Medicago truncatula: one gene and its partners. The protein of the gene in region 2 binds, or shares a complex with, the protein of the main gene of each other region. Links are inferred from orthologs where the notes say so. Each region holds a gene or a part of one and is shown on either strand. Other genes may lie near its edges.

Region 1 (8,485 bases), on a different chromosome or scaffold from region 2:
TTAATAACAGAAAAAATCAACAAAATAAGAGGTAATAGAAGGACAACACTAATATAAGGAATTTAGGCCTTCAAAGCACACACGAAGGTAAAAACCGCCTTACAATTTTATCAAACAGCTCCCCACCAGTCACGAGTTCCATTACAATGAATATCTTTGACCTGTTAGCTATTACCTACACAAGGAATTTGTAGTTTACAATACAGAGAGCAGTTAGAAAAACTGAAAGAATAAACTGGGAAAATATGAGAATAGAAGCAAACCACACAAATGTAAAATACATGGAAGCAATCATTTACTGCCTACTAACCTCATGCATGCGTATGACATTTGGGTGTCTAATCAGTTTCATTGTTGATATTTCTTGTTTTATCTGCATAACAGTGAACAACAGAATATCAGCAAAGACTAGAGTATTTATGCTTCAGAAAAACAAAATAAACCCCAAAATTTAGCAGAAGTTGTTCATACTAAGATTTATTACGGTCAAGCAAACCATGCCTACGCGAGGAGGATTTCAACAACAATGTTTCATTGAAATGTAACTTCAAAACTATAGACTACTAAACGTTTTCTCAATACCACACAAAACACAGTTTAAACTCGAATAGCTGCCATGTTTAACTGTTGCCAACACATAAAATAATTAGAAAGCAAGTAATTAATTAATAATATTAAGAAATGTCTTACAAATAATTATATGAGATATAATCAATCAAACAAATACTTTATATGATTAATCAGCACCTCATAATAAATGGCGACTGAGGTGGAAAAGTGAAAAGAACCATCCCAGAAGCATAGACCACTTTTGCTTTGGTCAGAATGATGAGATAAATAAATAAGGTTATGGTTAATGAGGGGTAACCTTGGCCCAACTGGTAAAGTTGTTGTCATGTGACTGGGAGGTCACGGGTTCAAGTCCTGGAAACAGCCTCGTGTAAAAACAGGGTAAGGCTGCGTACAATACACCAAATGGTGGGACCCCTTCCCGGACCCTGTGTATACAACAACAACAACACCCAAGCCTTTTCCCACTAAGCCTTTTCCCGGACCCTGCGTATGCGGGAGCTTTAGTGCACCGGGTTGCCCTTTTATGGTTAATGAAATGGCAAAACAGACTTCGGTTATTCATGTTCGTCCCTGGTTTGTACTGTCATGGATATGTTTCATGAAGACCCCACTAGTTTCTTTTAATTGAATGATGATGGCACCCATTAGTTTTGTTTCCTTCACAGCAATATTCAAACTTCTAGATTTTTCTTTTGTCAAAGTTTAAGTTATCAGAGACACTAGCAAGTAACTGAGAGTTTCGATGTAACATCCAACACGTTTAGGGAAATGTCTTAATAACTAACATCTTTTTCCCTAATTTTATTCATATTTTTAAGCTAAATTCTGATGGGAAGTTTGAAAATCCAACACACTTTCTCTAAGTCCAATTTCATTATTCTTGACATGTTTATGATTTCCATGCCTCGTAAGTCAGAAAGTGTAAACTGTTTCTTTTTTGCCTAGTAACGAGGATACTGATGAGAAGAAGAACCTTTTTGAAGTTTTATAAAGAACAAAGGTATAAACAAGAAACATTTTTGCGGCTATCAGCAGTGTATGACGTCTCTTGGTTGGAGCACAATGTTATCACCTTTGTCAGTTTCGTATACGGATATTCTTTTGAATTCTCTTCAGTAATCTACCCAAGAATCAAGACGCATTATTGTTTCAACAGAGATAATCTCATAAATTTCAATGACAGAAAACTATTCCAACGAGAAAAATCAGATAATAACATTCCCTACACATAACACTAACAGAACTTGACACCAAAACTAAGAAAACAAAAAAAGAAGTCAAACTCTTTAGTGTCTCCAATGATGATCCGTGTTCGAATCTCAACTCTATCTTGGTCAACCCTAGTATTCCACACTTAATCAATTCATTTTCATATTTACATTTATTTTTTATTTATTAACTTTCCAATGAATAAGATCATGGTTCTTGTGGAAGAACAGTTCTTTCAGTTGACATCCACAGATGAACTTGCTCCAGTAGTCAAACCGGAAAAGAACAAATTATCATCGGTAGGAACCCATTTAAGAGCCACAACCAAGGATGGCTAATTCAATGAATTTAAAAAGTTGTTTTTCTTATAAATATGATCGGAGGGAGTATCTATTAAGCCTCTATTTGGTTCTGCAGCAAATTTTCCCGTTAGCTCAAAACCTCGACAATATTTTCAGAAGCTCTATTTTCTAGATTCTAAAAATCACGGCAACTTTGCATTGATATCACTGCAAACGTATATATTCGATTATCAAACATGCAACCAAACAAGTACTAAGTTTGTTCTACAACATCTTTTCTTACCAGCCAAGAAATAAAAAAATCAAACCAAAAACACACAAAATTAAATTAATAATTCCATTAAAATAAGTAAATTAATAGTCAAACCCCAACACCAGCTTAAAAACTAAACAAAAAGATAAGTTAATAAACAGTGGTAAATGATCAATTAACATCTCTAAACGAAGATTAGTCAACGCTTACACAACAACAGTAGAAACTTCGTATCTATAACATAATAACCCAGAAAGCTAAGATATAAAAACAAATAATTGATTTAACAATTAAAACAAAGAATTAACCTGACGAATCATTTTATGCTTGAGAATTTTCTCTTTATCAAGTATCTTGATAGCAACATGATCACCAGTTTCAATGTGTCTCGCAAACTTCACCTTCGCGAAATTACCTTCACCTAACGTCCTACCCAGCTCATACTTTCCCGCCTTCGCTCGTCCGCCGTTGCTGCTTCCTCCGCTGATATGCGACGAACGTGACGTCATCTTTTTTTTCTCTCTCTCTTTTTTCTTTCCTTTTCTTTCCTTCCTTTTTCTCTCTATATTCAAACTATTTCACTATGATTATATGATTATATGATTATATATTAGAGCCTCTTCTTCTTACAAGGTTGCCACACTTGAGATTTTGGGAGTCTCATTTTTTCTTCTTTCTTTCCTTTTTTGTTGTTTCTTCTCTATCCAACCAAACAAAGGAATCAGAAATGGAAGAATCTAAAAGATTTAACGTTTGTGATTGAGGTAAATGGTCGGTGGTTGATCGTTGACCGTTGGATCAAAAGAGAAAATCATGATGATGTTTCAGCTGTGTGGAATAAAAACACAAAACAAGGGGAAGGAATTGAGAGAGAGAGAAATAATACTAAGATTTTGATGGTTTTGAAAGAAGAAGAAGAAGAAGAGAGAATGGTCAATGAAATGAATGAATGAAATGAATAAGAGGTTTATGTGAGGAAGGCTCATCTAGCAAGGTCACATGTGTCATAATTGTCAAAATCGAATATGCCATTGGATTTGGATTTTTATCTTTTCAATTTAATGCAGTTGGATTTGGATTTTGTCTTAGGTTGCATTGAAATTATAAAATTGTAGTAGATCCTCCGGTCACTAATATAAGCAAAAATATATTTTTTAAATATATTCAATTAATGATGTATATAACATATAATAAAGACCACATACATCATTAACTGAATGTATCTAAAAAATTAGATTTTTGCTTATATTAGTGAGCGGAAGGTGTATTTTTTTACTACTATATTATAGAACACGTATTCCCATGACAAATATATTAATATTTTTATTTTTATTTTTTTGATATTAAAATATATGTTTTTTTTTTCTACAATAAAATAAAATATAAGTATTTATAATATCAATCCACCCATTCTTCAACAAAGAAAATATCATTCCGCCAATGAAAGTCTTACCAATGTCTTATACCAAGATGCGGACCATTGAATCCAGCAAACAAAACCAGTCCAAATGAAAAGCAAGACAAAACAAAACACATGGGTCATTGATTTTTTCTTAAAAAAAATAAAATTATACCTATTCTTTTTAGAGGAACTACTTACAAACCCGTGCTTCAGCACGGGTTGAATAACGTATCTTGTAAAACAATTGTACAAAAGGAAAAATGAACAAATTATGGAAAATAACTACATATTTCTACAAATTTCCTACCTTTTAATTACAAAGCTTTGATGCATTAGAAGAGCATATCCTAATTAGGAAAACAACATTATAATTAGCATGTTTTTAATTGGAACCAATGAAGGGACCAACGATATGTCATTACATAATAGGCTTAATTACACTTTTGGTCCTCGTGTTTTGGCCTACTCACGAAACTGGTCATGCCCTTTTAAAACAGAACAAAACGGTCCTTCAATTATCATTTTTGTTGCATTTTTCGTCCTACCCCCCATTTTATTCTCCAAAAACGCAAAGAAATGATAGTTTTAGACCTAACCTCTATGCTCAACTATGAAATAAACAAGGAATAAAGCATGTGGGTACAAAGAATTCACTTTATTCAACACACTAACCAAAAAAACCCTAATTTCTAAGATATGTTTCAAATTATGGTTTTTTTTTTTTTGTTAGTGTGCTGAATAGAATAGATTCCTTGTGCCCACATGTTTTATTCCTTGTTGATTTCATGGTTGAGCATAGGGGAAGGTCTAAAACCGCCTAAAACTGTCATTTCTCTGCATTTCTAGAGTTTGAAAATAGGAGGTAGGACGAAAAATGCAACAAAAATGATAATTGAAGGACCGTTTTGTTCTGTTTTAAAAGGGCAAGACCAATTTCGTGAGTAGGCCAAAACACGAGGACCAAAAGTGTAATTAAGCCTACATAATAAGTGAAGATTTATCAAAAAGAGACTAACCAAAAAGGGAACTTTGCCAAAATTTACATCAGTCAAAAGGAAACAAAAGAAATGGCATCCCTACAATAGAAACTGATGAGCATCTACAATAGAAACACCACTCTTAAATACTCCCTCCGTTCCAAATTGTATGACGTTTTGGCCATTTCACACGTATTAAGAAATGTAATTAATATTGTGTGGGGAAGAGAAATTATGAGTTGTTTTACAAAATTATCTTTAATAAATGGTATGGAAAAGATAAATGAAATAATTGAAAGAAGATGAAGTAATTAATAGTTAAGGATATAATAGGAAAAATAACATTAATATTTCATTGGTATTGTAAAGCGATATATAATTTGGGACAAATTTTTTTTCCAAAGCGACATTCAATTTGAGACGGAGGGAGTATAAAATTTCTTTATACTACATCAATGTTTACTAATTTAACTTATTCCAAAAGTGAATGTAGAGTAATTTACTCATTTTGAAAGTAAACTAATATGTTTGGATCTGCTTATGCAATTCATTTATCACTTTTCAAGACACATTCTTTCTCTTTAAGGCCTAAGAAAACTCATCATGTTCAAAAGAGGCTAGATTGGACAACCCCATCATCCCAATATCTTGTTACACTACCTAGAAGCTGAACCCTTGACCTTCTCAACTTGCTCTTCAATTCGGGCAAACATGGCCTTCTTCTCTTCGTCATTAGCAGCTCCAAACTCCTTTACCAATTCGTCCAAGTCTTCCACTATACCAGCCTATATAGAAATATCAAGTGTGAGCACAATGCTAAATGCAACAATTTGAACTCTTTATTTCTAAGTATGATTATTCCTTTATAACAAAATATCTAAAATTTGAAGTAACTTGTGAAAAGCCAATAAATTTAGCACATTAGTATTCTAAATGTGGTGGGAAATAAGTCTCAATGCTGCTACATCCATTATGCATACGAAAATACATTTCAAGGTTGTTGAATTAGTTTTTCTAATAAAATGGTGTGATTGGACCGTATGAGAACTACTTTACTTAGGGTCTATTTGGTAAAGCCATCAAACGAGCTTATAGCTTATAGCTTATAAGCTCGTTTGAGATGCATCTTGTGTGACATGCATAGGAACACTCTACTATATTAGTTAGTGCACATAAGGTTTAGCATTTTCCTTTCCTAACATAGTTGCAACTTGCAAGCATATGCTATAATATCAATATCCTTGATCTCCAAATAACCCAATCTTCCGTGAATATTATAAACCAAAAATTATATATAGATAGTAGACTTCAAATGAGCAAATTAAGGGAAAAATATGCAGGAAAGAAGTATTGCACACGGATGATTAATTTTAGGACGCACATGTCTATTTAAAAATATCACCAAATATTTTTGTTTTGTGTTAACCTCTGATTTTTAAGGGAAATGAGACCGGATAATTTGGAGTTCAGTCGGAAGGTAGATAAAAGTCTGACCAGTAATTTTTTTTGGTGAAAGTCCAGACAAAAAAATTTCACCCAAAAATCGAACTCAAATTCATCTGAACAATTCGTCATTTGTTGCCACTCATTAACCACGTGAGTCTAATTGTTCGGTGTATCACAATTTTTTTATAAAAAAGATACAATATTTAGATAAAAATTTCCTTATATTCACCTTAAAGGCATTAGGGTTCTACTTAACCTTTCAAACGGATTAGAAAATAGAAAGCAAAATGGAATTCATCAGACATCAATGCCTATCGGCTTAACATTTTTTACTGGTGCTGCATAAGAGTGATGAAATCAGATATAGTTGCTCACGGAAAATTGAAAGAAAGTTATATTATCATTCTTCTCAAAAATTGAAGAATAAGATCAAAGATAAATACTCAATTTATATAGATAAATGTTCCCTAATGAAAACTATATTACTTACATTTAAGGCACGAATGTTGAGAAAGAAAAAAAACAACACAGCACGATAGTCATTATTATTTATGTTTAGAAATATAGTGAAATATTTAGCCAAGCAATGGTTGTATATGTCTTATAGTTATATATATATAAATTGTAAAGAAATTTCATAGCACAAACACGGCCGAATCTTCAACCTAGATAGACTTCACTAAGCTGTATATACATCATGTGATTTGTGAATCTAATCTAACAATCACCAAATGAGTAAAAATCAAAACTATTCTGAAATATCAAGAGTGCAAAAGCTAAATTAGATAAATAAATATTAAATCAACCAACAATATCACACTGAAACCGTATACTTCAATGTAGAATACATCTAACAATGAAAAATTAGATAAATCGCAACATTAAAGGACTATATTAGAAATTGTCAAAACTAACTACAATTTAGATTTATGATGCAATATAAATAAAATGTACAACCTGAAATATACTGAGGGAAAATGTTTCTAGGAAAATTCCACATATGATATTATCAAATAAGAAGCCTGAATTAATTTAGAGTTCAAAGCAGTGGTAAAATGATTGGTCGAGTTTTAAAAGCCATATACATTAAAAAGTAAATCATGTGCTTTTTGAAAGTAAAACATAGGAGAATGGGATCTGTCAAAGATTCCTTGCTGTCATTAACATTTGTAGCTGCTGAACAAATCTTGCTTACTTTTTTGCTACAATGTTCACCATGATATAAGAAACATAATTGCAGATTCACACATTAACATCAACAGTACTTCATTTTCTGCATGTATGAGTGTCAAGGCATGGCAGAGCATTTTGAATATGAATCAAATAAAAAAAAAACAATAAGATGAAAAATATAATCAGTCAAGATGAAAGAAACATTAGTATGACTGTGAAGGCATGGCAAGGTAGGACATTCATGAATAGTATATGCAGAGCTCTTGACACAGTTTATCCCAAAATATATTCAATTAATTGCTTGACTGATCATCCAAGAAATTACCATTTCAAAATTGAACACAGTTATTTGCATCCATTCGTCTTTATCTCCAAGTATTGTCCTTATTTTCAACATAAATAGATCAAAGCATATATTAATAATAGAGGCTAATCCCAAGCACAAGATGTATTCAAGGCTAACCAATGAAGATTCAAGACATGCAAATCACATTCTTTCCCAAATCTTTGCAATTTTAGGGGTTTTTTTAAGTAATTCACGAAGAAATCATGCAAATGAAGAACAACTGAAGAATTGTCAAGACCTTGGGAAGACAAAGAATGAAGATTCAAGAGGCCTCAGGAGACCTTACATAGGAAGGAATTTTGTTTCCAAGTTCCGAGTCAAATTATTTCAAGACGAAGACATAAAAACGACGAAGATCGAAGAAACTGGGCCCGAAAGCACAATCAAATGCGCCTAGGGCATGGAATTGCATTACAATGCACCTGGGGAATCAAGAATGCGCCTTAAGCATTTCTAAGAGGCAATATGCGCCTCAAGCATATACTATGCGCCCCAAACATCTTAAAATGCGGGGGCTCAGGGTTTAGCCCGCGTTTTTAGCCCAAACCCAATTAGAAATCTCCACTCTAAATACTAGCCTTCCTCATTCAAAATATCTCGTTGAGAATTGTGGCAGTTCAAGAGGAAGGCTACTTTGGAGCTTCGGAAGAGAATATATCTTCTCATTGCTTTTTTAGGGTATGTTTTTATCTTTAGTAATTTGTTTTTAGTTACCATGTGTAACTTAATCTTTTTAGGTTACAGTTCTAAGATGAACTTCTGTACATTTTTGTTGGATACTTATTTAATTTAATATGTCGTTTT
Region 2 (8,239 bases):
TTAGTCATGTTACCAATCAGATATGCTGTTAATCCTAGATTAAAGAGCATGTAAAATATGACAAAGATCATCTCTCTTTCATTCACCGGATGCAAATCTCCATAACCAACTGTTGTTAAAGTAGTGATGGACCAGTAAATAGTCGTAACATATCTTGTCCACAAGGACTGCTGAAGGAAATCTTTCATTGATTCGCCAATCCACGTCTTTTCTGGATCATGATAACGCGCGGCAAGAAGATAATAAAAGCATCCAGCACAGTGCACAGCAAATAGAGTAACCTATGAAAATCATTCAGATTATTAGTCCATCTCATTTACATCTAATTTATCTTCCTTCTTAAAAGGTTACAAACACAATATATTCAAAAACTTACACAAATAAGCTTTGCACACCGAACCCAAAAATAGTTATAGTTTCTGTCCTTCTCAAGCCTAGGATCAAAGAAACAACATTTACGGTCATAAACTACACAAAAAGGAAACAAAATATATACATGATTTTATGGGAGTAAATGCATGTTAAGATGAGCAACGAGATTGAAAAATCTAGTGAGCCACCGTGATTTTGCAAAGCTACAAAGTGTAGCTTTTGTGGAAAATTTGTGACTGGCTCACTGCTTTTTATCAATCTCATCGCTCATCCAAACATATGCACCAAAGCTATCAAGTTTCAATCTTACCGAGAAAACATAGCGCTAACTCTACGAAGACGCCAAAGCCTAAGCATGTTGAATAGGCCATAGGTTTGCATAGGAGCAGGTGATATATGTGCAACAAGCTCAGAAGGAATGATGGAAATAAGATCAAGTACAAACCAAGTTTTTGCATATTTCCAAGCAATCTGTTTCGGGTTATCTACGAACAAATAGGTAGTTTTGTCTATATAAGCCACAAAGAAAGTGAGAACTATATCTATAGCAAAGAATCCATTGACAATATTATCAGTAACAGAAAGGGGTTTTTGTGGTTTCTTAAGGAATCCAAATTCAAATGGAGATACCCATGCAGTATACACAACCAATGTAACAAGGAAAGTTTCCCATATCCTGCAAAAGCCAAAAAGTTTTAATTACTTAATAGTCTTAGAAAACTCTAAATTTCAAATGCAGCAGTTATTTATGTTCAATAAGATGAGAAGTAGGGATGTCAATGAGACGGGTGCTGGCGGGAGTACTCCCGCCATCCAAAATGCTCATCAACTCCATTCCCCGCCTTGGGGAGTATTCTCCTCCTAAATCTCCGTCTCCGCCCCATGATCAATATTTAAAAATAATCAAATTTATATAATATTCAATTAAATTGGTAGAAAAAATATTTAAATTTTAATCATAAAAAATTTAAAATTAAGACATTATTGCGAGTTTTGCGACAACAATAAATATTTTCCCAAATCACCTAGTGGGACTTTCTCCCCCATCCAATTCGTGTGGGGGAAAACTTCCCGCCAGCGAGACCCCAAATGGGGCCCCCGCTGTTGGGACGGGGAGTTTTAAAAAACTTTGCTAATTGATTACGTTGAATTAAAAGCAATCATACAAGTGAATTTAAAAAGAGAAATGATATTTGTACAACCATTTTGTACAACTTTCTCTCTCATACTCACATTATGTTTTTATTCTATCTCTACATTTTTCTCTCTCCATTGTTTTTGACCAATGAAAAAACAAAGTTGTATCAAAGGTTGTACCAAAATGGTTGTCAAAATATCACTACTCATTTAAAAATCATATTTTCATCTAAAACCTCCTTAAATCATTAGGTGCATAAGTTGTCATTATTTTAAAAATTCTTATAGTCAATGAGAGTCACAGTTGACAAATCACTCACAAACCGCACTTTAACAAATTGACATGAGAGAACATAATAAGAGAAACATAGAAAATGACTCTTTACACGAAACAGAGTAGCAGTTACAAAGGCAAGAACAAAACGGGTAATTTAGGAATTTCAGTTGAGAATCCAACATCAAATTTCTTTCGTTACAAACTCATAGCCATCATTAAAACACCACCAACTTCTTGGTTGTTTCCCATACAAGGAAAACAAAGTCAAACTTTATAGGATCACTAAAAACACGTGTAAACTTTTTGGATGTTCCTTTGAAGAGTAAAAAAAACCAAATTAAACAGAACAAAACAAACCGAATTTTTAAATGAGTTGGATAGATCTCAAAATAAGAACATTTCGAGAAAATTGAGTGATAAAATTGTTAATTAAAAAGATTAGTATAAGAAAACGAAAGATAAACAGATTTCTTTTCTGTTTTAGTATACGGCGGGGATCATTAAGAAGAGAAATTGTTGGTTTATGTTTCAAAAGGGTAACAAAACAAACAAATATGAGCATGTATTTTCGAAGAATACAAACATGAGAATACAAATGAGAGTAATTAATAAATAGTAAAAATAAAGAAAAATATTGTTAATTTATTTATAAAACAACCTTCTATGTGAGAAATCCGTGAAGATGGAATTTCTTGAATGGTTTCAAAAAATAGAATAAAAGAGAGGACCAAGAAGAAAAAATTCAATAAAATAATAACATCAAATACAAACAGAAAATGAAAGAAGTGAAACATTAACAGCTAACAATTTTCCGTCAGAAACAAAGCAACAGAAAAATCAATGTCATGTCTTTCAACTCTGTCACAAGAAAGGAAAAAAAATAAAAAAAATAATGTGAAATACTGGAAAATTTGAAGACTAATCAAGACTAATAAAGACTAATTATAAACGTTAATATCATTTATTGTGTTTCTTAAAAACAAAGTGAAATCTTAAGAAAGAAGAGAACAGTCAACAAGCGTTGGCACCTCCAACCAAGAATTGGTTAATCATATATTTACTGTCTGACACGTTTCAAATAAGATTATCAAGAACGTTGAAAGAAGAATAAACGGAGAAGGAATTACCGGTAACGGCGATCATAGGGAGATATAATGAGGGGTCTGAGTTTAACTCTCCGGTTGCTTCTGGCACCAAGAGAAGGTAATATTCCGGTTGTGAGACTATAGTGACTACCATCTCTTGATAATTCAAGTTCTTCTTGGCCACACATAGTCATTGGAAGCACCATTTTTATGTTCTAGTAACTTGTTCCTTGTATGAATCTTTTTTTCCAGTAGTTGTTAGTACACGGTTTTGATAGACATGTTTAGGCGGTTCTTGAATTGAATCTATATTTATGTCTGCGTGTGAGAGTGATGGTATGGCATACACAGTTTCTAATGTCTTTATATAGAAACATAAAGTAGTCAATTAATGCATTTGGAAATATTTCAAAGACACCTTAACAGAAAAAAGAATTAGAGAACTTTTTTTAAGGGGAAAATGAAATAAAGATAATGATATAAATATGTAATAATAAATTGATTATTTAAAAACAATGTTGAATAAATATTTAAAAATTGGCAAATTCAATGGTACACTCAAAAATTTGAGTGTACCGGTACACCAAATTGTAAAACTATTAATTAATTGAGTTTTCTTTTGAAGAAAAAAATTATTTTCTATCATTGACAATTATAATAAAGGTTCTGCTAACCGGTGCCCCCAGAGCACTGGTTAAGCATACCATAAAAGGAAACTGCTTTTGACTTTATTATAAATTAATTACACAATTTCAATGCATTAACTACTGTATAATTTTCTTTAATTTTTCATATCCTTAACCAGTGCCTCGGGGGCACCAGTTAGCATTTCCCTTATAATAATTATATCTTATTTACCAAAAGCTTCAACAAAATCAAATTTACTCTTTTTTAACTTTTTATTTCATAAAATGATCGTTAATTTATAAATTTATTGAGCAAGAGTAACAGTACACCTTCGGAACGTTCAAATATATGTTATTTATCATGGTCTCTTGTTGGCAAATAAAATTGGGGATTGAAGAGCTCGTTTTTGTGTTAACCTCCTCAAAGGCCCAACTCCCAGGTTTCATGTTTATGCCGTGTTGGTTCAAGACGTGAAGTATTTGATGGAACAAAGTAATACTATTGTTTGTCACACTCTCAGGATGGGAAATCAATGCACAAATTTTTTGGTCAAGTTTGGAGCCTCCTCATATCATGATTTGGTTCACCATGCCACCCCTTTGAATGGTCTCTTATATTCCCTAAAGATGAATGCAGTTGGGACTTTCATTCCTGAAGAGTAGTTTGTAATTGTTTATTTTCTATTTTTTTTCTTTTTTCTTTAGCATTGTAACCAGAAAAAAGAATTTCCCCTAAAAAAAATATTATTTTTAATGATTTAAATCATTTGATATCTCCTTTATTCTTGGACTTGGATCTTGTACGCTCCTAGAGAATTTTTTTTCGCTTTCTCTCAAAATCTAACAGTCTTTCCGGTTTGCATACTAGGATGGTCTCAGGGAATCCACATATCTATATTTTTATGGATTATTTTTTCAAATCATTTAGTGGTTAGAAATTCACCTTTAACATATAAGTGTAGTGACTGAAGTTCGAATTCGTCATTGCATGCATTAACAATGTTATTAAATTCACGGGTCCTTAGAAAATAATTATTCTCTTTAGACAAAGAACGATAATTCCCTAAAAAAAAGATAATAATAATTAAGTTTGATTTTATTTTCTTATGGTCTTTCAGTCTTCAAATCTATGATCCTCGTCTATGTTTGCATAAGAATATTAGATTTGAAGCTTGAAAATGTATACGAAAATGGACAAAAAGGATCAAATTGAAATGAAAAAAAGATAAAGGACGAAACTGTTACCTGAAATTAAGTTAAGAAACTAAAAGTGTAATTTATTTCTATCTCTCATTATTCATAGACCGAGAAATTTGTTTCTTTTAAAAATTAGAGAACTAAATCCATTCAATTCTTTTTGAAAAATTTGAGAAAAAATTATACCGTATTCTTATTCAAATAGAGTCCTTATTTATTTTAAAAAATAGTGGCATCTCTTAGGTCGTTCGTGCAGCTTTTTATTTATTGGGATTCATGAGTCAACGGTGCCATTAATTATTTAAATTTAAAATATTATAAATTGCTACACACATCAAACTCGAGACGAGGTCTTAAGGTCGAAGGCAATAATTACAATTTTTTATAAAGTTTTTCCTTCAATTTTTTTTTTTTTTGTTTTTTTTATAAAGTTTTATCCACCATTTCATCATATACCCTGTTCGAGGGCTGCATTATCTAATTCGTTTATAAAAAATAAATCAAACATCTAATTTGTTTATAAATAGTAAATCAAACTCAAGATTAACATATAAGATAATTCAACCCTTAAAAAAATATATATTCATATTTGGTCAAAAATATATATTGAATGAGTGAAGTCTATGGAGAGAATCCAAATCCAGAGCCATAGTAAACTTTAGGTCACTACTTATAAAAAAAAATATTGAATTGATAATCTGTACTCCATTTATGTCTAGACTTTTTTAGCCAAAATTATATATAAATGAAGACGCTAATGAGTGTAATCATATCACTATTTAAGTGTATTAAATGGTTTTCTTTTCTAGGGTAAGTGTATTAAATGGTATGTTATTATAAAGATTAGTGTTGTCGGTGTATTGAAAATTAAAGTATTTTATTTTCATTAAGAATAATTTTTTAATTTAAAAACCATAAAAGAGTTTCTGAAATACTTTCGAATGTTAGTAATTATTGTGATTCATTTGCCCTTACATTATTAGAACAAGAGTAGGAAGATATGATTTTTTTTTTTTTTTTTTATAGAGGAAGATGATTTTGATTTGTATATTTCTATTTAGACTAAAAAATTCTGATTATTACAACCATGGTTGATGTGATCCTAAAATTCTCTCTCTTGATAAGAATAATAAAGTCAGTGTGGAATAAAAGAACTAAATTAATTTTAAATTTAAAGTTTTATTTTCGTAGGTCATGATGGGTCAATATTTTACATTAATATTCAAATTAATTTGATTCTGAACCACTTATTTTGATCCGAGTTTTAAATACCACTTATTTTGATAATTGTGTCGGAGTTGAGGAGAACGTTTTACATGTGTTTCATGATTGTTCTTTGGCTAGCTTTGTTTGGAACCACTTGGTGCTTATTCAATGGAGGTTGGATTTATAGGTAAGTCAGTTTAAAGAGCGGGTTTTCAATAATTTGAATATTAATGTATTTTTTAAAGGAGAAGTTGAGCAGAGAGTTGATTAGGATAACACTTGCCACCATATCTATTTATGGAGGCATAAAGCAAATTCGATCCTGGTTTTGAAGATATGTTTGTCTCTCTTGTAAAACTCTGCAGCATGTAAATATTTACATGAGGTCTAAGACGAGTGCATGAGCTGTCTTGTAGAAATTGCAAGTCATTGTTATCAATTACTAGAGAGAAAATAGATTGGACATACATACATCAACAACGATGGTGCTTTCGTAGAAATTGAATATGATCAATGATTGTTGTGGAGTGATAAGGGATGTGGATGGGAAATAGCCGGAAGGATTTGCAAAAAATATTGCATGACGAGTGCTTAGTGTGGGCTAGAGATTTTTTTATTTTATTTTTACGTGGAGCTACATATGGACCTATTAGGAATGGTAAGGAGTCGTCTTAGTGGGGGGAGGGAGGATGTTGGAAGCGTTGGTGGTAGGAGCTTGATTAGGAAGATTCAAAACTTACTTCTAGAAAATTGGAATGTTAGAGTTCGCGATATCTATATAGAGGTGAACAAAGTACCTTTGTATTTGTGATGTAAGATTTTTACATGTGATAAACTATTTACATGTGAGTATAATAGGATCGTTTTTGTAAGGAGTTGCGTATTTCATAAGTATTTTCATAATGTTTATCACATTAAGTGTTTGAGTATAAATTGTTTGGTTGTGTAAAACTATTTTCCTATTCGACATAAAAGTAAAACGAGAAGAGATAGGACTATTTCGCTTGCGCTCAGAGACATCAATCAAGCGTAACAGCTACAATCTCTCGATCGATTAACGGATTCTAGCTTTTTAAACGATATTATCACAATCACTCGACAATATCATTCGTGTCCAAATGATATCGTTATTTCTAAGGGATCGTTTAAACATCGATTTTCCAAACATTTAAACGATCACAAAGTTGATTGGATCGTTTAATCGATGATTTCCCAACCGATTAATTGACCTAAAAGCATTAAGTTCTAGATTAAAAGTGATTATCAAATATTAACATCAATGTTTAGAGGGATAACTTAAGATAGATTGTTATTCTATTTCTAGATTTAAAAGTATGTGTCCATATCATTTCAAATCTCAATAAAACAATAAAAGCAAGAATAACAACAATATTGAATAAATAGCTAGAACCATATATTAAATTATCAAAAGATTACATAATAGCTTGTTTGAATACCTCAAAACCACAAGAGTAGATATAACTACATATGTCTATGATAGCTTTGCAAAGGATGAGGAAGAAATGAAGATTCAATGACAAGATTCATGATGTCTCAACAAATCTTGGCTTGAATCTACTCCTAACTACCTTGCTTTGTGTTTCTATCTCTAGAAAAGCCCTAGTCTCTCTCTAAAAACCAGAAAAATATCAAAGAAAATGTAAAAGAATAGTTGGAAAGAGAAGAGAAAACTATTTATATGGGCCATATTTGTGCTCGTTCGCTTAAGCAAAGCAACATTCGCTTAAGCGAACATCTAGGGAATCTTCCATTGTCCATTGAGGAGTTGCCACGTGGTCCTTATCTTCTGAAATTTGATGAACTTGGCTCAAGCGAACTGTAAGCGTACAGGAAGCGAACCATTTTGGAGCTCTCTGGAACTTGTTCGCTTAAGCGAACAATAGGTCGCTTAAACGAACTGAACTTTTCTCATGAGCGAACTGAAGGTGTGCTTGTAAGCGAACAGACTGGTTGCTCTTTGGAACTTGTTCGCTTAAGCGAACAATAGGTTGCTTAAGCGAATTGAACTTTTCTATGAGCGAACTGAAGGCGTGCTTGTAAGCGAACAAACTGGTTGCTTTCTGGAACTTGTTCGCTTAAGCGAACCAAAGTTCACTTAAATGAACGTAACTTGGTTCAGGAGCTTCCTTCTTTTGGTCCTTGCTTGACATTTCCTGCATAAATTGGGTAGAATCAGGCATGTAAAGCATAAATGGTATAAATACACTCAAATGATAGCTTTTCCTTAGATAACTTGCAAAACAAGTCACTAAAATGCCTAGATTAACACATAAAATATATTACTTTGAGCACTTATCAATTTGTAAAGCAAATAAAAT
Region 3 (7,910 bases), on a different chromosome or scaffold from region 2:
ACGAGAGCCAAAAATAATAGAATTGGATTTTTAAGAAGATGAATTACCTCTTGCCTTTCAATAAAACCTTGCTGCTTGAGATCATATAGTTGAAAGGAAACTGAAATATGAAATTGCAATGGTTTAGTTCTCATTTATTTAAAGAGACGGATGATGTGTATAATAAATTAAAGAAGAGTTTAATGGTGATGCACTGTCACTCTTGACGTCCAATGAAATCTCATGATATTGCCACATAATCTCATTTTGTAACTGCAATTTAAAAATTACCGCATAGTGCTGGATTCTGATTGGATGCCAGTGCAAAACTAGTTTACACTGACGGCGCATATCCCCTTTTCTCATTAAAGAATTTACTCTAAATGTGCTTTCTTAAAATTTAGAAGCTGAATTACTGAGAATTCAGCCTAAAATAATAAAAGAAAAATATACAACATACATTCAATCTTATCATCAATAGGGGCATTTGGATGGAAAACGGATAGGGCACGAGCGAACTCTTCAAAACCTAGTATCCCATTGTGCTTTGTATCAAATAAATCAAATACCTAATAGAGTTAGAGAAAAGCTCGAGTGAGATACCAACCACATGGAATAATAAGAATCGGTCATTAAACATAACAAAGGAACAAAAAATTAAGTAGAAACGATAATTAATCCGGTCCGGAAAGTGATTTTTCTTGAAAATATGTGTGTAAGGGAACATGTGATAAACAAAACATATGAACAGGATAGTAAGCACTGTATATTAAGGAAATGCTGTAGCCAGTGTTGTCAAATAGCGGCTATAGTGAAACGGAATTTTAACAAACTGCTACTATTCCGCGATACACGATTTACTACAAGATGTTATCAAATAGCAGCTATAACAGTGCTATAGGGAATTTGAACAAGCCACTACTTTCTGCGATCTGCAATTGACAAAACTGATTGTAGCACCTTAATTTACATGGTGAAACTACACTAATTTTTCCGGTACACTAACTAACTTGAAATCCTATTATATGATGTTATCTAACTTCTTAGTTACACCTACAAACATTTACCAGAGGTACAAAGTTGAACAAAATTTTCTTGATTCTCATGTTCAATGAACTATTCAATTTATGTTGTCCACACCATATACCAGTGTGCAAAGTAAATTTAACGCTTTCTTGGATTTCCCATAAAATAGAAAAGAAAACATTGTGATAAAAATATCTTCAGCAAGTATAAATCAAAATAAGAACTAACATAATAGCCCGGAGATAAACATATTTGCACAAAACAGATAGAATAGAAGGGAAAGCAGTACCCGATCAGCAAACAAACTTTCTTTTTTATTCGTCTTGAACAATGCCAATTGAAACTCTTCCTGCAAGATGAGCACTAAAATTGAATATAACATCGGATAGATTTTTTAAAACTAAAACCTTTTCAAAGAAGGAAAACAATAAAATAAAAAGAAAAATTGTCATATCATATAAGTATAGACAATGCATACAACTTCAACATAATATGCCAAACCAAACAAAAGTTGTTCAATGACAAAAGAGGACAAACCTTGTTAATCAACCCATCATCAATTACAGCACTGCTGATCTTTTTGAAGAGCTCATACAGTGCTTCTATTTCACTAACACTGACTGCATACATATTCAAAATAAACAGTCATCTTTAGTACAAATATTACATACTCATTTCCAAACCAATAGTGTGAAAGATGATAGAATCAGCAAACAAAGAGATAATCACATGTTCTATGCCGTTTCTTTTTTGTTCTAGTTCATCAACGTTAATTACTTTACCTTAAAATTCAACGGAATATTGCATGATACAGTATTTCAGAAGCAAGTATTCTCAAATCTCAATCATCAGACACTTCACAGATGTTGGCATATTAAAATTCTTTTGTTATCTAGTTTTGCAAATAGTATCAAGTAATGAATCAATAGAATAAAGTAGCATTAACAGCGTACACACTGTCTCCCTTGCAAGAAGTTCAGGATCTTCAAGGCCTCTTGACTGGTTATTTATATCAATGTCACAACAACGCAATACAGAAGCAAGTAGAGACTTGAATCCCTCTAAGCACTGCAACATGGTATCTCTTGCAAATCAGAATTCTCCATAACTGTTCCATGAATAAATCAGTTAGATATTCCCATGTAGTTCATTTATCATTAAGTCATCGTAAGATGGCACTTGAGTGCAAACCTTTTAACCATTTCCAATTTCAGGTGACAATCCCAAATAGCACGATCTGTGAAATTTAAAAAATAAAATCAGAACAAAATTGGAATACATATCTGCCAGTCAGACCATCACATTCTGATATCAGCAGAAAGTACACAAATTGAAAACACAACTGCATAACAAGTTCCATATTTTAACCATGAAATTGTTACATCATACTAAAAGTATCAGCATTCAAAAGCCATGAATTGTACATTGCTCATTTCCTTTCTCTGCGAAAAACATAACATTGTGAGCATAAATTTGTACTCAATGAACCCCCAAACTATTTATACACGTCTATCAACACTCCTTATATTAATTCAGGATGTTTGGTTGTCGTAGTTTTGCCACACGGAACCTTCATATATTCAAGGAATTGACTGATAAGGAACTCCATAAACAACCATACACAAAAACAGCGGCAACTAGAATCAAGGCTTATATTTAAATTAGTGGAAAGGGATGGAATGAAATTATAATAGGTTATGTAATTTGGATTGTTTGAAAGGAATAAAAATAAAAATAAACTATAGAATAATAATTTTGCTATATTCCACTCCATTTCAATCCATAATAAATTCCAAAACACGGGGCAATGCTATGTTATCACATCAAAATTCAAATTCTTGATAAATACTCAATCCTATAAACCACAACAATCACAACTCTCATCATGAACCACGCCACTATAATAGCTGATAGACATGGATCCATAACGCAACACCAAATTCAAAATTCAATATCCACAATCCAAAATGATTCAAAATTCAAGATAATCCACTTTTCACATACCCCTTAACTCATACATAAAGAATTCACCGATCTATATAAACAAGCAAAAAATCAACATGTAGAAAAACAAAAAAGAAAGGAAATTTAGAGAAAAATAAAGAACACCGCATCAAAAAACATGATAAAAACATGCACAGAAGTATGATCAATGATTAATGAGCAATAAGGTGAAGTGGGTAGGGATAAAAATCAAACCTTGATGGAGGTAGAGATGATATGAGCAGAAAACAGAGAAGTATAAAGTGGTGGAAATGGAGTTTTGGATGGTTGGGATTTTGAAGGTTCACAGCAGAGGAAGTGCAGGGGAGGGTGATGAGAATGAGACTGTGGTATGGTCGATGACAGGTAGAGTACAAAGAGTACAACCCACACATAACTTTCACCTCAATTATAGGGTGGCCATCAAGTTATTTTTCAGCATTTGATCAATAAATGTGCCTCTAAATTAAATGAGATATCATGTAATTTATTGTTTGTAAAAAAATAAATGTAATTTATTGATTCAATTGTGTAAGAAAGATTTGGTGTATTTATGATGCCAAATCATTTTACTTATGTTTTGTCAAGTAAAACTTACGTGTAAATGATACTCCCTCCGTCTTAAATTGTATGACGTTTTGGGCATTTCACGTATATTAAGAAATGTAATTAATATTGTGTGGGAAAGAGATATTATGAGTTGTTTTAAAAAATTATCCTCAATAAATGATATGAGAAAGATAAATGAAGGAATTGAAAGAAGAGAGAGTAATAAATAGTTAAGGATATAATAGGAAAAGTAACATTAATTTTTCATTGGTATTGTAAAGCGACATATAATTTCGGACAAATATTTTTTCTAAAGTGACATACAATTTGGGACGGAGGGAGTAAGTGATATTTAAATAACTAAAATGACGACAATTTTTAGGACATTGTATATAAACATATAAAGTGAGTGTGAATTGTTTGGGTAGAATGGTAAAAAAAAACAATAGGAACATGGCTAAGCATGGGGCATCAAGCATTAACAAAGTCTGAGTAACTCATACGGAGGAACTTGCCAAAATATCACATATAACCTAGAAGAACATATGAATTTCGCTGAGAAATTCGAGCAACACTTTCCCTCTCAAAGCACATCTCGGTAAAGACATGTTATGAAGGTGCTCCTTCTGACTAAAAAATTTCACCTACAAAGAAACATATACAAGCATGTGTGAGTGATTTAGATGTTGAAGAATATGGAGTTGTGAAGAATTTATCTTGCAAATAACCTGTTGAATAGAGTCGTTGCTAAACAACATTGTGCATCTCTCTGCTTCCTTTTATCGTACTTGTGGGCTCTAATTGAAACCCATAAGCTTATCACGAAAGGATGTAGTTGGTGTTGATGACTTAGAAATATTAGAAGGTTTTCTTAACACACACACATCTTCCTTTTATCATACTTGAGGCTCTGATTGGACCCATAAGTTTATCACAAAAGGACGTAGTTGGTGTTGATGACATAGAAATATGAGAAGGTTTCTTAACACACACAAGTGTTTTTTATAGAGGTGTTCAAATTCAAGTCAAAACTGCATATTGATAAAAAAAAAATTGAAATCACACAAAATCAAATATATCAAAACGATCAAACAACATAAGTATATTTTAATCCTTAATTTTTATTACATTTAGATTAGATAAATTTTGATAATTGATCCAAACTCCATCGTGAACACACTCAATTCTTTAAAGAAATGCATGTAAAATAAAATGTTGAGTTGAGTCTCCCCCTATAAAATAAATGAAATTGACTTTACCACAAACTAAATATTTTTTGAGTTATGCTAACTTGCGCCCTTAGATACATGTGAGCTTAGCTTAATTGATAGGAATAATGCATAATATATATAATGTCTGAGGTTTGAATCTCGGACACCACAAAAAAAAATATTGTGCCCTTAGAGTACATATTAAAGATTTCATAAATAGTACCGTGAAAAAAGATTTCATAAATAGTAGATATTTATTATAAAACATTAATTTTCATCATCTACAAAAATAAATTATAACAAATTCCACTTTGAACTCTTAGGGTGTGTTTGGTTGTGAGAAGAGAGAAATAGGTGAGAAAGAGTATGTGAAGAGAGAAATATAGTAGATTTGATGGATTGTTTGGTATAAGAGAAATAGAAGAGAAAGAGATGCTACAATTTTTTAAAAAGACAAAAATATCCTTTAATAAAAACATGTAATTTATGACGTTTGCGTTGAATCCACTATTACAATAGTTTTGTCACTACCAGAAAAAATAGTTTTATATATATTTTTGACGTAATGATTTTGTATCTTGTAAGTTGTATACATTAACTCACTTATTTTTTCGTAAAAAAAAATAGTAACTTATTTTTGTCTCAATAAAAATGTTACGGTATGTTGGATTCATCATGTGTTGATATTTCTTTCTTATTATTTTCATACGGTAATATCATGTGCTGGCATAATTAGTTAAAAAAAAAAAAAAAAACTAAACAAATGGAAGAGGAGAAAACAAAGGGTAATTTTGGAAGATACAGAATAAACAAGTCTTTCTTCTCTCTTTCTCTTCAGTTTTGTGAAGACTCCAAAAAGAAATGGTTTCCACGTCTGTGTGTCTCTCTTCTCTAATTCTTTGCTGAACCAAACTAAGAAATACAACATTTCTCTTGTATCTCTCTCACCTACTTCTCTCTCATAAATCACCTCTACCAAACACAGTGTTCGTGTTAATGATGTGCGTGCCAGCACATGTTAGTATTTCCTATATTTTTTAAGGGTTTTATAGAAACTTTGTATTAGAACTTGTACATTCAATATTAAATACTACCTCCGTCCCTAATTATAAGACCCTTTTGAGAATTTTTTTTGTCCCGTTTTATAAGACCCGTTTTCTATTTTCAACTATATTAATTATTTCTTTACATACATGCCCCTATTTATACATATTTTTCTTCAATCAGCAATAAATAAAATGTTGAAAACATAGGCCAACCTTCTTTCTTAAAGGATAAAATTGTAAAAACAATAGTAATTACAAACATATTTAACACAAATATCCACTATCTTAATTCCCATTATTTTTTCAAAGGAGTCTTATAATTAGGGACGGAGGTAATATAAATTTTTTGAATAAATAATTGTTGTTTTTTAAGAAAAATTTACTACTGTTAGTTGTTTTAAGATGTGCAATGTTGCACATGTTAGACAAACCTATTTTTTAAATGAGTAAATAGTCAATTTTCCCCTGAAATTGTAAGTTTCATCAATTACCCCCCTGAAATTAACCAAACTTCAATTACCCCCTGAAATTTCACAACGTTAGTCAATTTACCTCCTCCGTCAAATTTTTCTGTTAGTGAACATGACGTTTTGCAAATACCCTCCCTGAAGTTTTGCACTTATGTGCAAAATGCCCCCCAAACTTAAAAATTTATATTATTTTTTTCTTAAAAACAAACAATTAATATTTAAATATTAAAACTAACTATTAATTTTGGAATTTGGGAAAACTACATGCATATATACATCAAAATAGGCTCCAAAATGGGGGAAAATATGTATTTTTTAAAGTGACAATAATGGGATGATTTGTGGATTAATATTGGGGGTTGTGTAGTTTAAATGGTTTGAGCAAATTGTTGAAGGAGTTGGAGGAGTTAAAAGACTAAGATGGTGAAAGAGAAAATATAAATTTAAATCTGATTATTAATTTGTTTATAAACCTCTAAAAGTAATAATTTGTCTATTAGAAATAACCATTATTGTCACTTTAAAAATACACATTTTTCCCTATTTTGATGTATATATGTATGTAGTTTTTCCAAACTCCAAAATTAATAGTTAGCTTTAATATTTAACTATTAATTGTTTGTTTTTATGAAAAAAGTAATATAAAATTTTAAGTTTGGGGGACATTTTGCACATAAGTGCAAAACTTCAGGGGGGGTATTTGCAAAACGTCATGTTCACTAACAGAAAAATTTGACGGAGGGGGTAAATTGACCAACGTTGTGAAATTTCAGGTGGTAATTGAAGTTTTGTTAATTTCAAGGGAGTAATTGATGAAACTTACAATTTCAGGGGGGAAAATTGACTATTTATTCTTTTTTAAATCTATCCAGGTGGCTCTTTGCTTTTGAACATGTTGAAGATAGAGTCCGACACGTAGCTTCATAAGATCCGTAACCGACCCGACCCGATTTGGGTTTTCAATTTTCGTTTCAGAGATTCAAAAATCAAACAATGCAAATTGCAAACCCTAAAAATCGAATTTCCTTTCCTTGGTAGTTTCTTCCACAGAATTCGCATCAAAGGGCTTCTTCAATCGTGCAGAAATTCGTACACGGAATCGAATGGGGAACCGAAAAGAGCGTCGTCGTGCCGCTCATTCCAACGCTGGTCGCAGAGTCAAACTCGATCTTTTCGCGGAACCCTCAGGTGAATATTGCTCCCTCTATATGTTTTATTCGTAATTGTTTCATTTTATGGATTGATTTGAATTCAGAAACCCTAATTTCGTTCATATCTGGGAATCAACTTGTCTTACATTTTTTTAGTTATGTTCACAATTAATTATGTTATTTTACCAACAAAAAAAAAAAACGATAATCAAATACATTGATGAATGGTTGAGTTGCACTTCATGTGACCAGTAGGTAAAATTGTTACTTGTCAGGCTCCGTTTGGATAAACAACTTATTTGCAGCTTAGAATACAAACACTTATCATGTTAAGCATTTCGTATAGCAAACGATAAAATAAAGTGAATTTGTTTTTCACATAAGCTATAATTTGTTTTTGTAAGCTATCTTGGAGAACTTGTGAAAATAAGCTGAAAACAGCGTATGAACAGTACCATAAGCTGTTTTCATAAGTTCTCCAAACCAGTCTCACAA
Region 4 (7,923 bases), about 8.0 Mb from region 2:
GTTACCAAGATTTTACTTTTCTTACCTCCTCTTTTTCCCTTTTTAAAATGGACATTCCACCTAAAGTAAGATGGTTCTTTCAATTCAAGCTGTAATATTTGAATCAGTAACAACCTACCAGTTAACTTAGTTTGTATAGGAGGAAAAAGGTTAGTTGTACAAACTTTATAAATCAGTATCGTTACTGAAATCAAAGAGAGAATGAGTTCTCTTTTCTCATTGCATAATAAAGCACATAATAATATGGGACCATGTTTGTCCCTCATTATCATTCTTCACCTACATATAAAGCACATAAATACAAGTATTAAAGCTGTGAAAGCTGAGTACCAAATAATGCAGTGACCACAAATGTTTTTCTTTGATGTTTTCTTCTTCACCAACTATGTTCAATAATTGTATAGTTCTCGACTTTCAATAATTGATGTTTATCTTCTTTCAAAAAAAAATAAAAAATTGATGTTTTTCTTTAATGTTTTTTCAATATATATATATATTTTTATAATTCATTTAAATGGAGTAATAAAATTTGTGAACTAAAAAGTTATCAAAGAAACAGTTAATTTTTTTTTTAATCAAAAACATCAAGACCACAAAACTTATGGTTGAAGAAAATGACATGCACATGTTCAAAGTGAGTTTGGTCCCATCCATGTGCTCTTCAATGCAGCCTCTCAAATATGATATTCAGCAAGTTGAGGCAATCCTTCACGGGTTGGGAATTTGGGATGGTGGTGGTGTAAACCAATAATTCATTCCTCATAATCTTGATTGTATATGGATGAAGCAAAATTATGATATTTTAGCAAGTTGATGCAATCCCTCACGGGTTGAAGCAAGTAAATCAAATTCCTCAATAATATCAAGTCTAGACGACGGATGAAGCAAAATGTTACTAAAACAAACAAAAATAAAAACCAATTATTATACATAAAATTAATATCACACACAAACAAGACAAGGAATTTTTAGTCGATTAAGATACAAAAGCAGAAACATACATAATTAAAACAACACATGAAGCTCCTCCTAAACAAGAATTATTACAAAGAGAAGAATGAGACATAACATAAGTAAATTAAACAAACATTATGATTAATGATGAAAAAATTCATCAAGCAGCTGGAGGGTCAGCAGAAGTCCAGAAAATATCTTTCAAAGCAGGACGAAGCTCTTTGCTACAGAACTGATTATACTCCAAAGTATCACCCTTATCTTTCTTCACCTCCACCACCAGAAACGACGGTGTCACCGCGTAAATATCCGCTGCAATAGCCAACTTTCCTTTCCTCCCTCTTTCTTGCCCTTGAAGTCTCACCTTCGTATCACTACTCTTCACATCAAATTTCACCGCCTTCGCCACTTGTTCCAGTTTCGATATCACTCTACTCGGCGTCCCACCCGTTGCAAATCTCATCTCCTCCCTCTCTTCTCTCTTCTTCTCTTCAAACAACGGAGACAAATCAAATCCTTCTGATAGTGAAATTATATGAAAAGCATTCATTGTCGTCGATGATTTCTCACACTCCATAAATTCAAACACCTTATCTTCTTCCTCTTCTTTCTCCTTCTTCCTCATCGCTATACTCTTTGGAACCGGTTTCTTAAACCAACTAGAATCCATTATCTTCGATATGGATATTCTTGTATTCGGATTCGGATCTAGAAGCTTTGTAATTAACCTCCTAGCTTCCAAAGAAAACCACGGTGGACATTTGAAATCACCGCGGTAAATCTTCTTATACATAGCAACCAAATTATCATCCTGAAACGGTAAAAATCCAGCCAGAAGAACGTAAAGAATAACACCACAAGACCAAATATCAGCCTTAGCACCGTCGTAACCCTTCTTCGCGATAACCTCCGGCGAAACATACGCCGGAGTACCACATGTGGTATGCAACAATCCATCTTGTCTCAAATGTTCAGAGAAAGTACAGAGACCAAAATCAGAGACTTTGAGATTACCGTCTTCGTCGAGGAGGAGATTCTCCGGCTTGAGATCACGGTGGTAAACACCGCGACTGTGACAGAAATCAACGGCTGAGATCAACTGCTGGAAATAGACTCTAGCAACGTCTTCTTTGAGTCGACCTTTGACGATTTTGTTGAAAAGCTCTCCACCGCGAACGAGTTCCATGGCGATATAGATCTTTGATTTGGAAGCCATGACTTCGTGAAGTTGAACTATGTTAGGGTGTTTGACCATCTTCATGACAGAGATTTCTCTTTTGATCTGTTCAATCATTCCAACTTTAATCACTTTTTCTTTACCAACTACTTTCATGGCTACGTTTTTTCCAGTATTCAAATTCTTGGCGTGGTAAACCTTAGCAAATGTTCCGTGACCGAGTACTCGACCAAGCTCGTATTTTCCATCGAGCAGAGCCGAGTGAGAGTTAGGGTTTTCCTTTTCACACATAGTTAGTATTTACAAAGTAATAGAAGAAATATGAAGGAAGAAGAGATGAAGATGGAGAATAGATCAACCGTCTTCAACGTGTTTGCGGTGGCAATGTCTACCGCCAATGATTCGTTTTGTAAGAATGCTTACAACTTCAGATGGAGAGAACCGATAGCAATGGCCTCTCATCTCTCTGCATTCCTTCGCTGTAGACAGACAGATACAGAGAATTATGAAAACGATGAAGAATGATTTAATTGGTTAAGAAAGGGTTGAAGAATTGTGTTTGGTTTCGACAATAATTCTATATTATTACTGACTTATATTAGGTTTGGTTTTATAATACGGCGGTGCTGGTTGGTCTCTGCTTTCGTTTTCATTGTCTCAATTGATTGGTGATCTGACGGTTCTCTCTCAAAGACAGATTAGGTGATGGTGGACACGTGTATGGACCATTGTTCTTGTCTTTTCTTCTCACCGCTTCAACCGTTTTTTTTTTTTTTTTATGCGACGATGAAATTAAACCGAATCAGTCTTTTTCTTTTGGTTTGTTTGTTTGTTTGTTTTCATTTTTATTTAATTGATATACTTTATTCTCATTTCTTAATTCAGAAGTATTAAATAAATGATAATAATAAGACATAGAATCATGATTGATTAGGAAAGGAAACCAAAACCGCGAGAGAAATACTTTGAATCATGATTGATTCATGAATGAATGAATGGTGTGCAGTGCTGCTCGCCATAGAAGAAGACAAACCTATTTTGTTTTGTTAATTATTATGTGTGACAGTGTGTGTGTGTGTGAGTGATTGATAATATAATAATACTGGTTGGTTAGTATATGAATACTGCTAGAATGGATAGATTAGATAGATGGAATAATGAATAATGTTATTTTGTTTGAGGTAGGAGGTTTGAGTGAGACATTGACATGACGTAAACGATGGTGGAGCCTGGCTGTGGGGCTCGCTGCAACTGCAAACCAGCAATTAGATTTAAAACAAACAGTGGATGATCGGTTTTTAAATTTGTGACAATCACGTAATAGCTCGTGGCACTATGTCACTGGCTAGCAACGACAACTAACAGGTAGGTAGGTCTCTCGAGACGGACCCGACTCTTCTGAAGCGAGCTGCTCACTTTTTTTAAATCAAAGAAGAGGTGCTACATTTCATTAATAATCAAGGGATATCAAGTAGAAGAAGATATGTCATGAAAGATATGAGATTAGGATGAGATAATATGGTTCTAGCAATATAATAAGATATCATATTTGTTTGTCTCTTTATAAACGATACTACATAGTCGAAATTATTAGATAAGAGACTCTTACATATTTCAGATACCAAGTCATCAAATTTATTACATGGAACATTGAGAGCTTGAAGCGCAGCTACCAAAGTTTTGCTATCCGTTTCAAACATAACATTATGCAAATCGTTGGATATCGCCATTTTGAGAAAGTGGAGAAGACCAAGGGATTCCGCGTCTAAGACAGAAGATAAGTGCAAGTAGTTAGATTTAATTAATAATAGAGATCATGTTGAGTCTCTAAAGCATAAACCATAAGCCATAATAGAGTTATTATGGAAATTGGTCGTGTCAACATTGCATTTGATGTGGCCGGCCTGTGGCTTGGTCCACGTCCGTTGCTGATCTTGGGGGCTTGCCGGATGCTTAGCTCGTTGCATGCAGCTCCATTCGTGTAGCACATCATAAGCACAAGAGACAATGAGGGTCAGTGAAGTGTTTGTAGCCTCCCAAAGCTTGGTATTACTACTCTTCCACAAACTCCAAAGAATTATGGCAGCAAGAGATCGGTCTTGATCTTGCTCCTGTGATAAAAACCAATTTTATGTGAATGTATCTAAACATAAATTTACTTTAGTTCTATTCACTTTTATTCAAAATCAGTTCTTTTTAACTCGATTCTATCAAACTAATTTTAATTACTGCATAACCAAACACAATCTAATTACAGCTTCTTGATGGACGCACATTTCCTACATTTTCATCGCTGAAGCAAACTTATCAGAAGTGTATAATAATTTCTTTCAATCATCTGAAATATAAAACTGTTTCTTGATCTCGTAGATATGCAGAGATTTGCTACCTACTTGATCAATAGTTAGTGTGGCTCTTATAACTACAAATTTTGGAATAATTAATACATTTAGCATGTAATGGAATGTGCATTTGGACTGGATTGAGATGCCACCATGTGAAATAATGCATTTCAAGTGAACTGTTTGCTCGTCTTCATATATAGTCTCTTCTTTTTTTGACGCAATCATTATAGTCAACTAAAAATATATAATCATCTTCATGTCCCATTTTTTTTTTTATTTAAACTTTAAATGTATATGATTTTTTTTTCCTCCTTTAAACATACAAGTGAGACGACATATAAATCTAATATCTTGAGGTTTTTAGTGAAGATACAATGTCTATCATTGTTGTTAAAATTGCGTGTTAAAATGTAAAATTGCCCAATTTTACAGTTTTAAGAGTGAATTTTCGATTAGATTAATTGGTTGTCAAATCAATTTTGAGTGAAACATAAATTTAACCCGAGTTAATTTATTTTAGTTTTACCCAATTTGGAAGAATTTTTTTATTGATTTGTTTTAACCTTTAATAACTTTAGAAACTTTCCATAAAAAAGAACTTTAGAAACTTGTCAATTTTTTGTTTTTTTAGATGTTTTTATGATTTGGTGGGATAGTTTATGTTGTTTGATGAGCATGACACTTTATTATAATGATTTTATATATTTTTGTTTTATAATTAAGTTGAAATTTTAAATTATTGATGCATCTATAAATAAGTACATGAGTATAATACATGTTATTGTTATGCATATAAGGTAAATTTGTATAAATTGATTTCACCATATTTTTATTTCAATTTCATCCGTGTAATTGTTTTTAATTCAATGCGATGGTCCATCAACTCAACACAAAAACATTCATTTGATATATATCCTCACCTCACCTGCAAATGATGCAATGTCTTTGGGAAGTCACCATCTGACCCGCGTGCTAAGAAACTTCTGATTTTGATCATATGATGATATGCACCTACCAATAATTTATGGGAAATGTTAACTGGTGTTCCGGGGGCACTGGTTAAGGATATAAAAAAGGAAATTATATAGTAGTTAATGTATTGAAATTGTGTAATTAATTTATAATAAAGTCAAAAACAATTTTCTTTTAGGATAATAATTCTCTCTTATGATATGCTTAACCAGTGTCCCGGGGCACCGGTTAGCAGGACTCATAATTTATTTATTTTTATTACAACACCTATTAAGAATTTAAATATGAAATTGAAAGGTATGTACAATAATTGACAGACATTAATATCAAACCAAAAGAATAAATAACCAATTGTTTTTTCTCATACATTTTTTTATAACATTATTCTCATACTAATTTATACACACTAATTGAGGACATGCTGATCACAGCATTGGTGGGTTTACTATATGATGATGATGATATTGTAGATGTAGATAAAATAAGTTAATTAAATTTAGGAGTATTAGATTAGACAAGGAATTGAAATATTTTTTTAATGGCAATCGGGGTTATTTTTTCAGAATCCACTCTCCATTCCCGCCAGCCATTTTTAAAACAAGAACATGTATGGGAAAAAAATAACCTTAATTATGGTGTTTTAAATTACACAGGGATGTACTATTTGAAAGTTATGCTTCAAAGTCAATTTGTTTTTTTTTTTTGTGTGGTGAAAGTCAATTTGTTTTTTGTTTTTTGTGTGGTGAAAGTCATTGTGTGTGTTTGGTACGGCGGTGACGATAATTGATTTTGACATAATTGAGTTTAAAATAATTGATTTTAGTCAAAAGTGTGTTTGATGTGAATTGATATATAAAAGTGATTATTTCAAGTTGATGTTGTTTGGATACTTTAAATTAAAATTGATTTTGGATGTTTAATTACCACCGAAATGTACAGTAGTGTTTCCAATCCCCTCCAATTTCATAGTGCAATTCAAGGCTTTTCAACAAACGCATAAGTGCATTTCCATACAGGTCCCTAACAAAACCAAAGTCCCATACAACAGTCCCTCCCAAAGCTAAAAAAGGAAAACCATAGGTAGCAAACCGCAGCACATCACCACTGCCAACACAGTTGAACCACAACAGTCTGCTGTCTGAAAACCGCACTAGTCACAACCTTAAAGCTTTCGTCTCACTAACCACAGACAGCTTTGTATTCCATTGTCTTCTGAATAAGTTTTACCTGAAACAAAAACATAATTTTTTATAAAATTAGCATCTCCAAAGGACCACCTCCCAATATTTATTAGGATATGTACATCATCGTCATCACATAAAGTAGTATATTGATTTGATATCCCATGGAGACACTTCTTTCTTTCAGATGGGATTAAATCGACAAACAATGTTCTCTTGATACAATATCGTAGTCAAAGAAAACTATCTTAAAACTCAATTCATATTACTTGATGAAGAAGGGGCAAGGCCTAAACAGATCAAGATAATTGAAAACACAACATAAATTTTCAGGAAGGAGGAATACTAACCTGAACAGATTGCTTTTTCAGACTTCTAATATGTTCAGTTATTTAATCATGTGTGAACAATTCAATCAAGGAAACATCATCATTGTCTTGATCAGCATCTGTCCCCTCCTGGTTGAATTCAATCCCATCTTGTTTGTGCTCTATATCACCACTAAACACTTGACCACTAAACACAAAGAACGCCAACTGAAAAACACAAATGCAGTCACCGCGACACATACTTAATCAAAATGGGATTTGAAACAAATATAATTAGCAAATAAACTACACTGATTTAAAAATTACCAGAAGTAGCAAATAGAAGCAGTGATCAATATGGTTAAGCTGAAGTATTAAAAGAAGCTCATTGATGTATGAACTCTGGCAAATGAGAAGTAAGTGATCTCAGAATATTATTTGACCAATCAAATGTGATCCAAATTAAATACTATGCATCCCAACATACCTTTACACATACACAATTTTAGATTTGAAAGAAACATCACAAAATTTTTAGATAGAGTTATTAGTCTAATGGATTTAAAAAAAAAAAAAATGTCAGAACTAAAAATCCCTCAAGTTCTCATTGTTATCGAGAGAATATATAATATGTTAGTACATAAATTTTAAAAAGTTTTCATCCTGCCAATTTAGAATGTGTAGCCTTCTGCCTCATAATATGTAGCAGATTTTTTACCTTCAACAAAATCATGTTAATACAACAGGGGTTCCAAATTAAAAAGGTTAAAAAGTACTGAAGGCAAGAGGATAGAAATGAAATTGGTGCGATGCATTTTATTATAATATCATATTTATATGTAAACTATTAGCATATCATCTATATATGTCCTTATTTATTAATTTTGTTACGTCTGCATCAATTTAACCTAATTTTTTCCCGCTCATTTGCTTTATTAGGTTTGCAGTTATTTAACCTAACAAATTCAATCTAAAAAAATGCATCA

What was found.
Region 1: potassium channel AKT1 (region 2) and CBL-interacting serine/threonine-protein kinase 23 share a complex: the UniProt entries of both Arabidopsis thaliana proteins name them as parts of the K(+)-channel calcium-sensing kinase/phosphatase complex. The link is inferred for Medicago truncatula from reciprocal best matches to the Arabidopsis thaliana genes KT1 and CIPK23.
Region 3: potassium channel AKT1 (region 2) and calcineurin B-like protein 3 share a complex: the UniProt entries of both Arabidopsis thaliana proteins name them as parts of the K(+)-channel calcium-sensing kinase/phosphatase complex. The link is inferred for Medicago truncatula from reciprocal best matches to the Arabidopsis thaliana genes KT1 and CBL3.
Region 4: potassium channel AKT1 (region 2) and CBL-interacting serine/threonine-protein kinase 6 share a complex: the UniProt entries of both Arabidopsis thaliana proteins name them as parts of the K(+)-channel calcium-sensing kinase/phosphatase complex. The link is inferred for Medicago truncatula from reciprocal best matches to the Arabidopsis thaliana genes KT1 and SIP3.

Annotation. Positions count from the first base shown.
Region 1 is NC_053043.1:21,923,951-21,932,435, forward strand, and holds the start of CBL-interacting serine/threonine-protein kinase 23, read right to left. Parts: upstream 3,261-8,485; 5' UTR 2,847-3,260; coding exon 2,646-2,846; intron 374-2,645; coding exon 311-373; intron 176-310; coding exon 104-175; intron 1-103. UniProt on the Arabidopsis thaliana protein: CIPK serine-threonine protein kinases interact with CBL proteins. Binding of a CBL protein to the regulatory NAF domain of CIPK protein leads to activation of the kinase in a calcium-dependent manner.
Region 2 is NC_053045.1:54,795,856-54,804,094, forward strand, and holds the start of potassium channel AKT1, read right to left. Parts: upstream 3,225-8,239; 5' UTR 3,078-3,224; coding exon 2,914-3,077; intron 1,049-2,913; coding exon 683-1,048; intron 435-682; coding exon 377-434; intron 282-376; coding exon 1-281. UniProt on the Arabidopsis thaliana protein: Highly selective inward-rectifying potassium channel that mediate potassium uptake by plant roots in response to low K(+) conditions, by a calcium-, CBL-, and CIPK-dependent pathway. Positively regulated by phosphorylation by CIPK23.
Region 3 is NC_053044.1:27,320,759-27,328,668, reverse strand, and holds the start of calcineurin B-like protein 3, read right to left. Parts: upstream 3,390-7,910; 5' UTR 3,205-3,389; intron 2,243-3,204; exon of another isoform or gene 2,197-2,242; intron 2,114-2,196; 5' UTR 2,083-2,113; coding exon 1,959-2,082; intron 1,626-1,958; coding exon 1,543-1,625; intron 1,355-1,542; coding exon 1,295-1,354; intron 549-1,294; coding exon 440-548; intron 101-439; coding exon 48-100; intron 1-47. Other genes in the region: uncharacterized protein, read left to right, coding at 7,368-7,452. UniProt on the Arabidopsis thaliana protein: Acts as a calcium sensor. CBL proteins interact with CIPK serine-threonine protein kinases. Binds calcium ions. Binding of a CBL protein to the regulatory NAF domain of a CIPK protein lead to the activation of the kinase in a calcium-dependent manner.
Region 4 is NC_053045.1:62,830,000-62,837,922, reverse strand, and holds CBL-interacting serine/threonine-protein kinase 6, read right to left. Parts: upstream 2,734-7,923; 5' UTR 2,423-2,733; coding exon 1,115-2,422; 3' UTR 908-1,114; downstream 1-907. UniProt on the Arabidopsis thaliana protein: CIPK serine-threonine protein kinases interact with CBL proteins. Binding of a CBL protein to the regulatory NAF domain of CIPK protein lead to the activation of the kinase in a calcium-dependent manner.